2 linked regions of the Ovis aries genome follow. The protein of the gene in region 2 purifies or fractionates together with the protein of the main gene of each other region. This does not show direct contact. Links are inferred from orthologs where the notes say so. Each region holds a gene or a part of one and is shown on either strand. Other genes may lie near its edges. The genes, in order: SNRNP70 and GEMIN5.

Region 1 (8,384 bases), on a different chromosome or scaffold from region 2:
GCCACTTTCTGAGTCTTTTCCACCACTTTTTTGCATCTGTCCTGCCGCAATAATTGGCAAATATCCTCAAGGGAAAACTGAAAGAACGTGTTAGTCGCTCAGTCGTGTCCGACTCTTTGTGACCCTGTAGACTGTAGCCCACCAGGCTCCTCTGTCCATGGGGATTCTCCAGGCAAGGATACTGAGTGGGTTGCATGCCCTCCTTCAGGGGATCTTCCCAGGTTCTTTACTGTTTGAGCCGCCAGGGATAAATATGAAGCTCACCTCTGTATGCTTCCTCTCTTGGTATCAGCGCCCCTCAAGCATGGCCTACAATTGTTTGCTCCCCAAAGCCTTTCACAAGTTACTTTTATGTTTTGTCCAGTCTTTTTTTTTTTTTTTTTAAGATTGATTTATTTATTTACGGCTGTGCTGGGTCTTTGTTGCCGCGTGCGGGCCTTCTCCAGTTGCGGCAAGCGGACTTCTCATTGCAGTGGCTTCTCTTGTTGCAGAGCACACACGTCAGGGAGCACAGGCTCAGCAGTTGCAGTTCCCGGGCTCCTCAGTACTTGTGGCGCATGGGCTTAGTTTCTCTGAGCTACGTGGGATCGTCCTGGACCAGGGATCAAATCTGTGTCTGCTGCATTGGCAGGCGGATTCTTTACCACCAAGCCACCAGGGAAGCCCTTGTCCAGTCTTTATGTACCTGGTCTGTTGGCGAGCTATGGTCCACAGAGTCACAGAGTCGGATGTAACTGAAATGACTTAGCACGCACACTATGCCAGGAAAGTCCAAAATGGGCTGTTTTTCATAGCCAACTCCAGAAGTATGCTTTCAATATCTGGAGTATCTATGAAAATACAGTAATTAGAGGAATTAAGTTTTTTTTTTTAAATTATTCCCTAAATTGTTTTCTCCAGAACCAGTTTATCTATTTATCTTGTGGTCTCTTTTGGCAGATTTTTTTCAAGTGTCTGGGATCTTTGGTTATATGCCTGTAAAAACTGAGGCAGTTAAAACAACACTAGAATCTGGGGTGTGCAGTTGGATTTCACTGACAGTTTGCCTCTAATTATCAGGCCAACTCTGCCTTCAGGCTGAGAAACTCGTATTTGAAAATGCCCAGCTCCGAGGCATTCTGATTGTGGAAACAGTGCAGTTGTTCTGGGTACAAATCCTGTTCAAGTCTCCTATCCCGGGGACAGGGGAGCCTGGTGGGCTGCCGTCTACGGGGTCGCACAGAGTCGGACACGACTGAAGCGACTTAGCAGCAGCAGCAGCAGCCTTATTACACCTGAAGTTGCAGTCCTGAGCCTCTAAGTTCTCTGCCAAGGTCTGTGGATGGCTCCCTTCTCAAGTGGCCACCAGACTGACGTGTTCTCGCCACTGTCCTATTTCGTCTTTAATCCAGAAATGCGCTGACATCTCGACCGCTGACGGAACCTTGCTTTGTTACTCCTCTGCTATCATTAGGAAGTAAAAACAGTGAACCTGCCATCATGAACTGGAGGCCATTTTCTGTCCTGGCCCTGTGAGGACCCTCTGCTCTACCTGATTTTTATTTTTTTAATTTATTTATGCTATGCTGGGTCTTAGTTGTGACACACGGGATCTTCCATCTTCCTTGCGGCATGTGAAGTCTTAGTTGCTGTATGTGGGACCTAGTTCCCTGAACAGGGATCCATCAAATCCAGGCCCCGTGCATTGGGAGCTAAGAGTCTTAGCTGCAGGACCACCAGGGAAGTCCCTCTACCCAATCTTTTTACATCTTAAAATTTTTTTTTAAATTGAAGTACAGATCTACAGTGTTTCAGATGTACAGCAGTGATTCAGTTATACATGTATTCTTTTTCAGATTCTTTTCCATTATAGGTTATTACAAGATCTACTGAGTATAGTTCCCTGTGTTATATAAGTAGGTCCTTGTTGTTTTATATATAGTTGTGTGTATCTATTAATCTATTAATCCCCAACTCCTAATTTATCCCTCTCCTCCCTTTCCCTTTGGGTAACTGTAAATTTGTTTTCTGTGTCTGTGAGTCTGTTTCTGTTCTGCAAATAAGTTCATTTGTATCAGGGCTTCCCAGGTGGGGCTGGTGGTAAAGAACGTGCCTGCCAATCCAGGAGGCATAAGAGACAGGTTCGACTCCTGGGTTGAGAAGATGCCCCGGAGGAGGCCATGGCAACGCACTCCAGTATTCTTGCCCAGAGAATCCCTATGGACAGAGGCGCCCGGACCTGAAGCGACTTAGCACGCACAAAGCATGCGTCATTTGTATCATTTTTTTTAAAGATTTCACATATAAACAGTGTCATATTTGTCTTTCTCCTTTCGACTTCACTTAGTGTGATAATCTCTAGGTCCATCCATGTTGCTACAAATGGCATTTCATTATTTTCATGGTTGAGTAATATTCCATGGTATATAGAGGCCACATCTTCCTCATCCATTCCTCTGTCGATGGACATTTAAGTCGCTTCCATATCTTGGCTATTATGCTATCTTTTTTGTTTTTTGGCTACTCCATGTGGCATTTGGGATTCCCTGGTAGCTCAGCTGGTAAAGAATCCACCTGCAATGCAGGAGACCCAAGTTTGATCCCTGGATTGGGAAGATCCCCTGGAGAAGAGAATGGCGACCCACTCCAATATTCTGGCCAGGAAAGTTCCACGGACTGTATCGACCCTGGGGTCACAAAGAGTTGGACACAACTCTCCCTTCACTCACGTGGCATGCAGGTCTCTTTGGACCTGCGCCTCCTGCAGTGGAAGTATGGCGTCCTAACCACTGGACTGCCAGGGAATGCCCCTTGCTATCGTAAACAGTCCTACGTACATTGGGATGCATGTCTTTTCAGGTTATTTTTTCTGGACATATATGCCCAGGAGTGGGATGGTGAGTTATTTTTAAAAGTGTTTTTAAAGGAACTGCCATACTGTTCTCCATAGTGGTTATACCAATTTACATTCCCACCAGTGGTGCGGGAGGGTTCCCTTTATCCACACCCTCTCCAGCACTTATTTGTAGACTTTGGGTGATGGCCATTCTGTCTGCTGTGAGGTGATCATGTGGTTTTAATTTGCATTTCCCTAATAATTAGCAATACTGAACATCTTTTCACATGCCTGTTGGCCGTCTGTACATCATCTTTGGAGAAACGCCTGTTTCGATCTTCTGCCCATTTTTGGCTGGGTTGTTTGTATTTTATATATTAAGCAATATGAGCTGTTTGTATTTGAAAATATTTTCTCCCATTCTGTAGGCTGTCTTTTCATTTTATTGATTCCTTTGCTGTTCAAATGCTTTTAACTAGGTCTCATTTATTTTTGCTTCTATTTCCATTACTCTAGGAGTTGGTTCCAAAAAAGTATTGCTGTGGTTTATGTCAGAGTGTGTTCTATGTTTTCCTCTAGTTTTATTTATAATACCTGGTCTTACATTTAAGTCAGCAATCCATTTTTTTAAATCTTTATTTCTGCTGCACTGGGTCTTTCTTGCTGCACGCGGGCTTTCTTTAGCCGTGGCAAGCGGGGTTCCTCTCTAGTTGCAGCATGCAGCCTTCTCATTGCAGTGGTTTCTTATTGTGGCACCTGGGCTTAGCAGCTCCTTGGCATGTGGGATATTCCCACACCAGGGGTCAAACCCATGTCCCCTGCATTGGCAGGCAGATTCTTAACCACGGGACCACCAGGGAAGCCCTAATCCATCTTATTTTTGTATATGGCCATTAAGAAAATGTTTTTTTCTTTTACATGTAGCTGCTGTCCAGTTGTCCCAATACCACTTATAGGCAAGCCTGTCTCTTCTCTTTACCTGTTTATCTCGCTCTCACGCTTCGTGAAAACACGGCCCAGAGCCCCATCCCCACACTAAGATAGGAGTATGAACAGCTCCACAAGAAATGTGTGGGAGCACCGAAAAAAAGCAAGGCATCAAGGACCCTTAAGGAGGTCTTCCTTACTCTCAACAGCTTGGCTATCCGGGACTAGCCCTAGCCTTTAGTTCATACAGCTCCTGTCCTGGAACACCAGAGTGGGGCCATCTAAGTCAGAAGGTGACACCCTCCTGGGGAAGACAGTAAGAGCAGTGAAGAAACCAAGCGCCCATTATCAACAAGAAATTTTATTTTTAAATCCAAGAGACCAAAACAAATAAGGAGACTCCTACCCTTGGCTGGCAGATTCAGGTGGTGACCAGGAAGGTGGGGGAGAGGATGACAGCAGGGGGAGTAGGAACACGTCCAAGCGGCCGGCGAGCGGCCTCTTCACTCCGGCGCAGCCTCCATCAAATACCCGTTCTCCGGAGCGAGATACCCGTCGCCTCCCTCGGACTCCATGTACATGTCTCGGCCGTCGTTGCCCAGACCCTCGAGCCCGTTGTCCTGGCCGCCGCCACCCCCACCTCGGGCCTCATCCCTGCCCCGATCGCCGCCCCGCTCCCCCCGCTTGTGCTCCCGGTCCCGGTCGCGATCGCGGTCCCGGCGCCGCTCCCGCTCGCTGCGGTGGCTTCGACGTCGGTCCCGGTCACGATCCCGGCCCTTCTCCTCTGGGCCATCCGGGCCGTCCGGACCCAGCTCCCCGGGGGGCCCATCATCCGGGGGCGCGTCGCCGGCCTCGGAGGGCTCGGCCATGTCGCCGCCGCCGCCTCCGCCTCCGCCTCCGCGCAGCTCCTCCTTGCGCTCCCGCTCCCGCCGCGCCCGCTCCCGGCTCCGGCTGCTGCGCCGCTTGCGGTCCCGGTCCTTGTCCTTGCTCCGCTCCCTGGAGCGCCGCCGCTCCTCCTTGTCGCGACTCCGAGAGCGCCGCCGCCGGTCCCGAGAGCGGGAGCGTCGTCGTTCCCGCTCCTTGTCTCTCTCGCGGCTTCGCTCCCGGCGCTCCCGCTCGCGGTCCCGGTCCCGGTCCCTGTGGGGCAGCGGGGAGGGGCCGGGCCTGGATGAGGTGGGCAGAGGTTTGCGGCAGGGCTCCCCCACTCACCGCCCCGCTCCCAGGACACCCGGCCCGGCCTCACCTCTCATCGTAGCGGGAGGTGTCGTCCCGGCCTGAGTGCCGGATGTTGACGTCCGCCCCGCCTCTCCGGGTGCCGCCCAGGCCGCCTCCTGGGGAGGGGCAGACACAGGCGGGTCAGAGCGGGTGGGGACCCCGAGACGGCGGGCAGTGCAGAGATCAGAAGGTCACAGCGCCAGCTGGACGCGCCCTCATAGGGCTCCGGGCTCACCTCCCCCACCGGGGAGGCCCCAGCCCCTGACAGACCCTCTCCTCCGGTCATTCCCGCCCGAGACACAGCCCCGATCCTTCTAACTGAAGCCTGACCCGCCTCAAAGCCGGCAGTGGCTGCCCACCGCCCAAGCCAAGGTCAGAGGCCGGCCTCCTCCCTGTCTTTCAGCCCAAGGGCCCCTGGCTCTAAAGGTTCCAGGCATTTTCCAACCTCTTCATGGTCTCCATGTCCTTCCTGCCCAGTGTTGGGGATCATTCACCCGTTCCCCTGGAGTCTCACCTTCCTTTCTACTTAACTCCCACTTACCCTCCGCACCTTAACCCACACCTCACTTCCTCACTCCGCCTGCCCTGACCTACCAGCTGAGGCCCTTCTCCACTCACAGACCACACACTGGCTTCAGAACTTCAGTGGAGTTTCCGATTTCACGTGTGTGTCTCAGGTGGAGTTTCCAATTTCGTCTATGTGTGTGTACACGCACGTTCAAGAGAGAGCTGATTAACAGCTGCCTCCCTCTCTAGCCTGTACTGCGCCTTCCATCAGGACGCTGGACCAGCAGCCACGATAAAAAGCTGGACGAGCAAATGGCGACAAGGACAACTGGAAGCAGCAGCAGTTACCCTCCTCCTTCACGTGGGAAACAAACGCAGGCTGAAAAGCCACCTGCCCAGGGTGACTCGGCAAGAAAGGGCAGAGCAGAGACGTGATTCCCCGCTAACTCCAGAAGCTGCCCTCTCACTCAGTCTTCTGCCCCCACTGCCTGGAAGGGAGTTTCCTGAAGCTATTTAAGGAATAGCTTTCAGCAATGAGGGTCAAAAGCTTGGACATGGACATGAAACATCCGAACAGAGGACAAGCCACCCAGCAAGGATGCGGAGAAACAGACCAGTGCTTTCCATGTTCAGATCACAACCCAGCAGTGGAGTCACATCACTAAATCTGACAGGATGCAACCAACCATTTCTTTAAAAGAAAGAAACAGAACATAAAACACTAGTATATATACTGCCCGTAGAAAAGATAAACTACTGTTTCATCAAACTTTTGTTTGGGTTAAATGTATTTTTTTTGCATGTACACTGGGTCAAAATGCACTGGCTATCACCATCAGAAAGTTGGAATGCCAATCAAACTAGAAGATTCTGAGATTCCAGGATTCTACAATGGGCAAGAGCAGACTCTGAAGGACTCACTCCAACCCAAAGAAACCAGAGAGGGAGAGGAGAACTTATCTATTGAGTTGACACTCGGCAGATACATGTGTGATTTACTCAGTAAAGGCAAGTCAAGCATAAGAACAGCAGGCTGGGGGCAGAAATAAGGTCAGAGGGTACTGGACCTGCCTAGGGTGTCTGCATAGCGAAGACTATTTTCTCTGACAATTGGGTCACTCCCCCTCACTGGAGTTGGTCCTCGACAGCCAAGTCTGGATGGCACAACCTCAGCCCCAGGTCCAGGCCCAACGCTGAGCCACTTAGATCCACCCACCCAGAAGCGCAGACTCATCCAAGACTGCGTTGTGGAATACCACACTGGCTCCGTGGGGAGAGAGCCAGAAGGGACCAACTCACAGACAGCAAGCAAACAAGGCAGAAGGCACAGAGCTGCCAGAGGCAGCTCTGGATGCTGCAGGCTCAGCCGCCAGGGCCTCAAGGCCCACAGACCTCCCCCATCTTTGGGCTCCAAGCCACTGGGGTTTCTACACCAACAAGGCCCCAAGACACCGGGATTCTATACCAACAGACCCCTTTATACTGTTTTCTGGTACTTGCTACCAACCTGACCTTGACTGAGACGGTAACTGACAATAAGAGATGACAGTGAGAGGGACTGAAGCTTTGAGGGCAGCGGCCAACCATGTATGTCTCACCCTTGACTAGAAGCCTGCTACGCAGCTGGTGATCACACCAGTGTTTACTCAGTAATCAATGAACGAACAGGCCGGATGAGCAGGAGCAAAGTCTAAGCGGATGCCAGAACGACTTTTCAAGCCCCACTGTACACCATTTGCCAGGCTGTGTATCTGAGACACTGAACTCAGTGAGCTCTTGAGATTATTCCCACTTTCTAGGATGAGGAAAATGAGTCAGAAAAGGGGAGAAATCCACCTGCCAGGTATGCGCAAGTCAGAATTTGATCCCAGACTGGCTTCTCCAGGTCAGTACTCTTGCTCCTAATTGGTAACCCAGAATAAAAAACAAAAACAGACCAAGAGAATGCTGGAGACCGAGAGGCTGAGCTGGAGAGAGGGAGGAATGTGAGCAGCTGCATGGGGAAGAGAAGACAGAAAGCAGCAGGGGGGGGGAAGAGAAGGGAGAGGGAGCCAGCAGGACCCCGAGCCCAGCCAGAGCAGGGCACGCTCACCTAGCCGCCGGGGCCTCCAGCCCTTCACGGTGCGGCCCCTCTCCACGTCCACGAGCACTCTCCTGCCGTCAATCTTCTTGCCGTCTGCATGCTTGTAAGCGGCTGCAACAGATGTGGGGAAGGGGAGGGGGAGGAGTCCCCAGAGGATCCTCTAGTCAGGTGACGGCCCCACTCTGTGGCATCCCGACCCGCCACACCCGCCATGTCCCCGTCAGCACACTTCGGCGCACACACGCACGCACACACACAGGCCCACCAGACAGCCAGGCAACTGACAGCCAGACAACCTTCTCCCAACCCGGGAGGGGCCTGCTCCATCTCACCACCTGCCTCATCACCCCCAAACACTCTTGGGGGGCCGGCCCACTCCCAACCACTATGCTCACCCTAACCACTGCCCTGGGCTCCCAGGCCAGGCCTACTCCCCTTTGACAGAGCAGCCCCCTCCCACCAAGGCGGCCAAAGTCGCTGCAAAGAAACTGGAGGTTAACTTAAGGCTGGACTCTGCAGTGGGGGAGGGCTCCTCCACAACCCCAGGCATGCACCCTAAAACGTCATGCTGGGAGCAGAGGCCCGGCTGGCCGCTCCGCACCCCAGTTCACACCGGTTTCCTTTTACTGTGGTTTTTGTTGGGGGAGGGTGAGCATGGGGGAAACAGACATCAGAACAGAAAATGAACCAGAAGGGGGCAGGAGAAATCTTTAGGAGATGGCAGGGAGTAGAGGGTGGGTTATGGGGGCCCCCTACAGCAGGTGGGGCAGAGGGAAGTGGAGGGAGGCATGGGAGTCGTGCGGTGCTACTGAAAATCCCTGCCTTACCTGCCGAGAC
Region 2 (9,418 bases):
CATTTTCTGTCTTGTCCTGTTTTTCTCAAGTTTTGATAGCCTTTACTTTTGTATATAACTACAGTAATATTAGAATACTTGACATTTAAGTGAAGTGAGAAATTCAGGGATAGGGTAAATGACCCTGGCCAGTTAAGGGATATTAATAACTTTTTTCTAGGTAAAGTATGTTTGGGACTTATTTTTTAGTTGCTCTTATTACATGGTATATTATTTAAATGTTTGCTTCTTTACAATCAGTTACTTAGAGATGGGTACTGTTATTTTTCTTTAGTATCAGCAACTAAGTTTGTAACAGGCAACTTTTTTAAAAAAGATGGTCTCTTTTCCACTGTACCTTTTTAAATCTTTCTGTTTATAATTTCCCTTCCCCCCAGACCTCCACAGATTTCCAGCACGTATCACAAGAAGACTGTGTACTCGTTAGCCTGGGGACCACCAGTACCTGCCATGGCACTCGGTAAGTATCTGAATCATTCTCTAACAAATATAAGACTATTCTCTTTCAACTTAATCCTAGGATATTCAACCTGGAAAAAGTCATAAACATTCTAGTGCAATAAATCCTTATGCAGGCTGCTGTGTTGTCCCTGGGGTCCTTGAGGGCAGTTGTAACAGGTGATCAGTTAGAAACCATTCACCTAGAATAAGCCTCTCCAAATTTTAGTATTTGGTCTCTCTGAGCTGAATTTTTTATTGTGACTACAGTTATCTCATGCTAGGTCCTGATACCTAATCTAATAATTTTCACTAAAACTTGCTATCGCCTTTTAATTTTATCAGCATTATAATGTTGGGAATTCTTTGGCAGTCCAGTGGTGCAGACTGCATGCTCTCACTGCCAAGTGCCAGGTTCAGTCCCTGGCTGGGCAACTAAGATCCCACAAGCCACTCAGTGTGGCCAAAAAAATAAACACTTTATTTAAAAAAATTTTTTAAAGAATTATAATGTTAATGATCATCTGTTTCAACCTACAGTTAAAGCAGGGTTAGAATTTCTCAGATGATCTCTTGTTGCCTGTGAATACATTCTGACCCTTTTCTAGCCCCTCAGTCTTGCCTTTCTTATTCCTACAATGGTAGGTCTTGCAGAATTTATAAATTGAATGTGTTCAGCAAAATCTTTAGTAGTCTTTTCTTCAGCATCTATAGTGGAACATCTGTACATCTGCCTAACTGCAGTGTAAGTCATCAGAACTCAAGCAGCATTATAGAGTTCATTCATTCATTTAGCAAATGCTGATCCTTGATTTGTGCCAAACAGTTCTACAGTAGTGAAAATAAAATGTGTCCTTACAAAAACCCATCAGAACCACTGTTTACTTCCTAAAATAAACAGGAAAGTTACTATAACACCAATTGCTTTGAGAATAGCTTCTTACATTTAATCATAGGAAGTCCTGCAGCTTCATATATTTAAATGCCAGACAGTACTTATTTCTGTAAGATAAGATAAATTCCCCAAAACTTTGAGAACATGTCTTCTGATCCCAGCTTTGGCACCCCTACTGTTTTGAGTGGCAGAAGATAAAACATGTCATAGTATAACATGGTCATATTAAGCAACAAACAGTTAAGCTGGTAAAGTACAAAACTGATAAGCTTTCTTTTCTTATTCCATGTAGGAGAAGGAGACAGACCTTCCCTCACTTTATACAGTTGTGGAGGAGAAGGGATTGTCTTACAGCACAACCCTTGGAAGCTTAGTGGAGAGGCCTTTGACATCAACAAACTCATCAGGGACACCAACTCAATCAAAGTAAGTTCTTGTGATTTGAAGTCTTCTCATGATCTCTCTGTTTTATCTTCTCATCTTGCATGATAAATGGCATTATGTGAGGTATCCATTATGCTGTCAGATTTCAGGCTTCTCTCAGTTGCAATGGTTATTTATTATAAACTTTCAGATCTTGAATATAAAGCACCCTTTTCACACCTGCCACTTTCTCCAGAGGGAGGTGTTTGTAAAACTTACTTTATACTATGTTATCCAAGTACAGCTATGAGGTATTTTGCTCAAAACAGAATTATCATTTTGGTTTTTTAGTGAAATAATTACAGATTTATACAAAAGCTGCAAAAATAATGCAAATAATTTCCTTATATCCTTCACCCAGATTTCCACGTTTAATCACATTTTCTTTACCATTATATCAATATATCTGTATGCCAGAACTGTCTTTTTAAGTGAAACCATAAATGTTGAGTTTTCCTTACTCTTTCAAATGAGCATTATTTACTTTTGCTCATTATTTTTGTATGGCTATTTTTGTTATAAAAATAATATTTAATCATAAATTGAATTGTTTTTAATGGCTATATTCCTTCATGTTTTAAATGTTATCTTAACATTCAACAGTGAATAAAAGAGGCAAAATTCCTGTTCCTAACAAGCTTTTAGTTTTGTAAGACTTAAATAATATAGATCAGAAGTTCACATAAGGAATTTGGGCTGGAAATGGAAATTTAGAGTCCCTTTATATGAGCGGTAACTAAAGAAGCTGTGGGCATGTATGAGGTGGTCTGTGGAGAGACAAGTAAGAAAAGAAGAGGGCCCAGGCAGCCTTGGGGAACAAAGGAACTGTTCTCTAATAAAAACAGAAGAAGAGAAAAATAAAATTCTGGAAAAGAAACAGAAGAGATGGGAAGAAAAGAGGGTGGCGTATGTGACTTCTCTTAAGATGACAGCCCCCGTGTTATCGAAGCCAGTGGACATGTTTCATGTCTTACTGTGGGATAAAAATCATTTTAATTAAGTTCATTTCACAAGGTTAGACACTGCAAATATTTAATACTCACTGGCCTGTCTTTTGTCCCAGTTAGGAAATCATATTTAGCATAGTTGTTCTTAGTAACTCTTTGGCAAATTACGTAGATTATTTATAAGAATGGCTGTTGTAATTAGAACATTCTTAAACCAAGGTTTGTTTGTTTTTTCCCCTCACACTGTCATCATTGATTTGTAAGCTGTGTGGCAAGAACAATGTTTTCAGTCGAGATTGGTTTGTTTTGCTTTTCTAGTACAAATTGCCTGTACACACAGAGATCAGCTGGAAAGCAGATGGCAAAATCATGGCTCTTGGCAATGAAGATGGGTATGTGTTTGTTTTTTTTAAAAAAAAAAAACTTTGTAATTGCACATATATTTGATCACAAGCTAGTGCCATCTGTAATGTTAGTTGGGAAAGCCTAGCTGTATTTGATATTCTGACTTATCCCTGATATCCTTAAATAACTCAGGAGCTGTCTGCATTATTGAGAACTGCAAAATAAGTTAAATATTTATAGCTCAAAGGGAATGTTTGCCTACTCTGTTTTGGTTGTAGTATGCTTCAAAGAATGCTTATCTCCAGAATTAAGTTCCCTAAATCTCCTTTCATTCTTTTTAAAGAAAAAAAAAGCAGAAATGCTTTTTAGCTCTTACTATATCCTTTCCAGTGTTTTGGTTTGGTTGTTTAGGGTGTTTTGTTTTGTTTTGCCCTTTCCGGTATTGATCATAGTAACATGGTACTGTTTCAGCCATTGGTTTATTAATTCTTCTTTTAGTTTTTCCCTGGTACCATTTATTATTTTTAGAGCATGATAAATACAACTTTCCAGAGGTTGTTGGGATTTATTAAAGCTGCTGAAAGAACTGCCTTTTGTACCTGATTTTTTGTAAGAGAGTAACCTCTGCAGTTAAGATTGGGTTATCCTATTCCATTTCACCTTTCTTTGACTGATGGAATGAGGATGATACCTGCTTGCACTGAACTGTAATTTGAGCATCCTTTCTTATCTTGGTGTTTCTTATTCCAGATCAATAGAAATATTCAAGGTTCCTAACCTGAAACTGATCTGCACCATCCAGCAACATCATAAGCTTGTGAATACCATTAGCTGGCATCATGAGCATGGCAGCCAGCCAGAACTGAGCTATCTGATGGCCTCTGGCTCCAACAACGCAGTCATTTATGTGCACAACCTGCAGACTGTCATAGGTAACTTTGGTTTCTTTCCATACTGGGGGTGGTATATGTGTTCAGCTACTTTTTGTTCCAATCTTCGTACATTTTCCTTTTTCTTTGGTATTAAACACTACTCTTACTATTTTTCTGCTTTCAAAAGTAATGTATTCACCTTATTTAAAACACAACAAAAATTTCAAACATGACAATACATGTTAACTTAGAAAGTGAAGTACCTCCCTTATTCCCATCCCTCATTAATAAACATTGCTGTTTCCTCCAAATTTTCTAAAGTATAGTTATTGCCAAGTCACTCTCCAAAAGATGGTGCCAATGTATATTCCCTTCCTTCAGTGTTTGAGTATTTGACACGTACAACACACATCCCATCCCATGCATGACTGCATCTAATTCTTACACTCCTGGGAGGTAGGTTTTGTTATCTTCATTTTCCTAATTGAGGCTCAGAGGGGTTAGCTCACTTCCATGCGTCCCACAGCTCATACATGATAGAGCCCAGATTCATTCCCACACTGTCTAACTGCAGCATCTGCATGTGTTCTGGTAACTACTAGTCCCTGCCTAGCAGGTTGATCTTTTTCATATTTTCATACAACTTATTCCTTACAAGGCTTAAACTTCTCTGAACTTCCTCAGCACCTAGAAGAAGTTAAGTGGTCAGAAGAGCCTTTTTTAATGTGAAAGAAGATAATTACTTTTTTTCTTAATATGAAGAAAAAAAAAACACATAACCCATCTTCATTGCCAAGAGCTATAATTTTTGTTTTTTAATATGCTTTTGTTTGTTTTGCCTGAAGAGACAAATCCAAAGTAATACTGGTATCATTTATGTCAGAGAGTTCCTTTCTAAGAGTTCTAAGGTTTCCAGTTTTACATTTAAGTCTTTAATCCATTGTGAGTTTATTTCTTTATAAGGTGTGAAAAAATGTTTTAATCTCGTTCTTTCACAGGTAGCTGTCCAGTTTTTCCAGCATCACTTACAGGAGAGCATTAACTTAATTCTTAAAAGCAGTGCAGATCTTTGTCTACTGAAATACTATCATCCTGGTTTGTTTTTTATTTCAAATCTACTGAATAACACAAAAAGGGAAACAATGACCAGGAAAAACTTCATTTTTATCTTCTTATATTTAAATAATTCACACTTAGAGGAAAGTTGCAAAAACAGTATGAAGGACTACCATATACCTTTTCACAGATTCAACAACTTATAACCTTTTGTCATATTTGCTTTGTGCTGTGGTGTATGTATTTTCCAAAGTGTTTGTGTATTTTGTAAGAATAATGATATTCCTTTATATAACCACAATTCCATTATAATAGTTTAATCTACCATGCTTATTCTAGTGTTGTCAGTTGATTCAATATTGTCCTTTATATCTCTCAGCCTTTTTTGTTTTTTCATCTTGATTTTTTTTTTTTTTAATACCAGCTGGTTATGTGGTAGATGCGTCCTCAGTTTGGTCTCATATATTCTTATGACTAGATTCAGGTCACACATTTTTAACTATACATGATAATACATCCTTCTTGGTATCACATCCTAAAGGCATTACTTCCATTTTGCTGGCTTTTAGAAAGAAAGAATGAGAGCTATCACTTCCTACAGTAAGCCCATGGATATGCCACAGTGGATATGCCTACACTCTTAACCACTAGACAGTGCTGCCCAGTGAAAATCACGTAGAAAGCATGTGGCAACATCTTGACTTGCCATGCTAATTAAAACCCTCCTTTATGTCTTTCTGTTGTTGTTATTGGTACCAATGCCATCATCCCCTGTCTTTTAGAGAGCAATCCTGAATCTCCAGTGACCATTACAGAGCCCTACCGGACCCTGTCAGGGCACACAGCCAAGATCACCAGTCTGGCATGGAGCCCACACCATGATGGAAGGCTGGTATCCGCCTCCTACGACGGTACAGCTCAGGTACTATTGCATCCCTGATTCTGTGGGTTCTTCACTATATACTCTAACTGAAACTCTTTCTTCTTCTCCCCTGTGATTTTTCTGAGCTCTCAGTTCAGTTCGGTTCAGTTGCTTGGTGGTGTCCAAGTCTTTGCGACCCCATGAACTGCAGCACACCAGGCCTCCCTGTCCATCACCAACTCCCGGAGTCCACCCAAACCCATGTCCTAGAGGGCATTTTATTAAACATATCTGGGCCCTTGTCAGGGTAAATTTGGGTTTTTTTGTAACTTAGGTGAAAGAGAATATTGATAGGAACTAGCTAAACTGATGTTTTTAAAGATTTCACTTTGACCTCCTGTCAGTATGATAGACTAAAGTTGATGTGAAAAGTACTCCTCCCATTCTGTTCTGTCACAGAAGGGTGACTATAAATCATGAAAAAAAATACTTCTAATAATAACTCGGTAGCTTACATCTTCAAGTTCTCAAAAATAAAGATGAGATGCCAAGCCAGAGCTGTGAAGTGAGTTTCGGATATCAGAACCAGAACAGACCTCAGGAACTGGGGATCCATCATCAGTGATGGATGTCTGTCTCAGTACTGAGTGGTAAATGAGCTGTCTGCACAGAGCTGAGAGCCGTGACTGGCTGCCCTTTGAGATGGAGACTGGAATCATTCAGGAAATAGCAAGGAAATTGATCATTTGCCCTGAGGTAGAAGAATCATCTGTGAGAAACTAGAACCCTTGCATCACACATGTAGATGTGGGCTCTGAATTAGAGGTATCGGAATCCCCAGCCCAAAGATAACATGCAGTACTGGTTCAAGACAGTGAAATCCACAGGGCATCATTAAAAGCTTACTCCAAATCATTCCTATGGGAACTCTATATCCCAGAATACAGAAACCTCCGTTAGGAAATAGCACTTTCTGAAACTGCAAGTACAAATTACAAGAGGAAATAAGAGTACACAGATTTTTTTTTTTTTTTTCAAAAATGTATACCAACACCTCCTCAGACAATAGAATAACCAAAAATTATCTATTCTCATGTGCGACTTTTGGTTTTAGGTGTGGGATACTCTCCAGGAAGAGCCTCTATGCAATTTCCGAGGACATCGAGGTCGATTGCTTTGCGTTGCATGGTCCCCATTGGATCCAGATTGCATCTACTCAGGGGCAGATGATTTCTGTGTGTACAAATGGCTCACTTCCATGCAGGAACACTCCCGACCTCCGCAAGGTCAGTCAGAACCTGGAGCCTATAAGGGCTTGCCTCATTCCCTTTTTCCTTTCCTCAGTAAGCTGTCAGTCATGCAAGGAGGACATTCATGGTGGGCAATAGAGCAGTATGGTGGGAATGGAAGCCTGGGCAAGGACAGTAGCCCGAAGAGGTCTGAAGACAACACCTGAATAGTAGCAAGTATTCCTAGCACCCAGATCTTGTTTTCTAAATCTCAATCTCTAAAAAGGAACCTACCAGGGCTTCTTGGAGAAATGGCTAGTTCCAGGTTAGGCGGAAAAAATCTAAGATAAGTCTGCAGCATCATTTGCCACAAAGGTATAACTGAGGTCATCAAAAGGACAAAGAAGCCAGCTTGAAGGGGCTGGCTACCCAAATGTGAGATAATCTGAACTTGAAAATAATTAACAGAATTTCACTTCTGGCTATAAGAGACTAACTGGAACCAGATTTTCCCACCCACCAGAAATAGCTAGAAAACTAAACAGGGTATATAAACAACTAGAAATGTACTCAAGAAATGAAACGATGCATCCACATAAAGACTTATAAAAGAATCCTTATACCTAATCTGTAACTGCCACAATCAGAAACAACACAAATGTCAGCTGGTAAATAAACTGTGGTATATATCCTACAGTGGAACTATTCAGCAATAAAAAGCAAGTAGCTACTTATAAATACAACAAAATGGGTGAATCTCAAAGATTATGCCTAGCAAAGTAAGCCTGGCACAAAAGACTAAACACTGTATAGTACTAATATAGAGTATGAAATGTAGTTGTAAATCATACGAATTTCTAAAACAGACAAAACTAAACTACAGTGATAGCAAATCAGTGACTGCCTGGGGCTCAGGGAGGAGGGGAATCTACACAAAGAGGCATGAGGGAACATTTTGAAATAATGGCAACAGTTTATTTGTGGTGGTGGGTTACCTATACAGCTGTCTAAACTCATAAAAACATTAAAAAATCTGGTATTTTTTCTTGTGTTAAATTATATCTCAGTAAGATGACTTGAAATCAAAAGATAAAAGCTTTCAAACTGAAAAAGTAAATAAGTAATAGTAAAGGATTAAAACATTAAATAGGAATTCTTGAGTCCATACTGACCACTATAAAGTAACAGTCTAAATAAATAGACAGAAGCAAAAGTTCTTTTCAGCAGAAGGCCACCTAGTAAGTGTAGACTGAACAATGGAACCGAAAATTGCCCTTTGGCCATAATCATAGTAACAATTTTTAGTAAAACTAGTGGGGACAAACCTGCAAGGTACCGCCCTCCTTATTCAAGTAACAAGTAAGTAAGTATTAGTCGCTCAGTCATGCCTGACTCTTTGCAACCCCATGCACTGCAGCCCACCAGGCTCCTATGTCCATGAACTTTTCCAGACAAGGATACTGGAGCGGATTGTCATTTCCTTCTCCAGGGGATCTTCCCGACCCAGGGATCAAACCTAAGTCTCCTGCACTGCAGGCAGATTCTTTACCAACTGAGCTACAAGGGAAGCACACCAAGTAATCAAAGTGAACCACAAATAATGAGACAAATAGAAATTATGTGCTACCTCCCAGGCTGCACCAGGATAAACACAGCCTCACTGGTTTGTATTGCAGCTCAAAGTATATAACCTAAATCTAATCATGCAAAAGATAAGGCAGACCCAATGTGAGGGAAATCAGACAAAATATCCTGTGATCTTCATGAGTTTCTAGTCATGAAAGTCAAAATAAAACCTGAGCCTGTTCTAGGCTGAAGGAAACTAGAGATGTAACAAGCCAGTGCAACCTGTAGTCCTGGAGTGATTTCCTTTTGCTATAAAGGACACTTCTGGTGTAACTGGTAGAACTTGAATGAAATGGGAATGAATAATCTATCAGTGTTAATTTCCTGATATTAATGGTTGTGCTGTGATGATGTAGGAGAATATCCTTCTTTGTAGGATATACACTAAAGTATTCAGGGGTAAATGGGCATTGTGTTTATGATTTAATGAAATCTGAAAAGGGTTTGGTTTGGTTAACATTTTGATAATATAACTAAGACTTCATTGGGAAGGTGGGGAAAAGGTAAGAATGTTATCAAAAAGAAGAGCAATAAGGTATCTATCCTTTTCTGAACTGTGATTTCTATAGGCAAGAAAAGTATTGAATTAGAGAAAAAGCGGCTCTCTCAACCTAAGCCAAAGCCCAAAAAGAAGAAAAAGCCCACCTTGAGAGTGCCTGTAAAGCAAGAATTATGTGACGGGAATGAAGAAGAGAGTGTAAAGGAGAGCCTGGGCCCTGTTGAGA

The links.
Region 1: the proteins of GEMIN5 (region 2) and SNRNP70 purify together in Homo sapiens (affinity purification with mass spectrometry; 4 studies listed by BioGRID and IntAct, counting the BioPlex papers as one, with this or other methods). This does not show direct contact. The link is inferred for Ovis aries from reciprocal best matches to the Homo sapiens genes GEMIN5 and SNRNP70.

The regions. Positions count from the first base shown.
Region 1 is NC_056067.1:55,355,139-55,363,522, reverse strand, and holds the end of SNRNP70 (U1 small nuclear ribonucleoprotein 70 kDa), read right to left. Parts: intron 7,659-8,384; coding exon 7,557-7,658; intron 5,074-7,556; coding exon 4,986-5,073; intron 4,907-4,985; coding exon 4,246-4,906; 3' UTR 4,088-4,245; downstream 1-4,087. UniProt on the Homo sapiens protein: Component of the spliceosomal U1 snRNP, which is essential for recognition of the pre-mRNA 5' splice-site and the subsequent assembly of the spliceosome. SNRNP70 binds to the loop I region of U1-snRNA.
Region 2 is NC_056058.1:63,862,473-63,871,890, reverse strand, and holds part of GEMIN5 (gem-associated protein 5), read left to right. Parts: intron 1-377; coding exon 378-460; intron 461-1,625; coding exon 1,626-1,759; intron 1,760-3,021; coding exon 3,022-3,095; intron 3,096-3,798; coding exon 3,799-3,980; intron 3,981-5,758; coding exon 5,759-5,898; intron 5,899-6,952; coding exon 6,953-7,124; intron 7,125-9,262; coding exon 9,263-9,418. UniProt on the Homo sapiens protein: The SMN complex catalyzes the assembly of small nuclear ribonucleoproteins (snRNPs), the building blocks of the spliceosome, and thereby plays an important role in the splicing of cellular pre-mRNAs.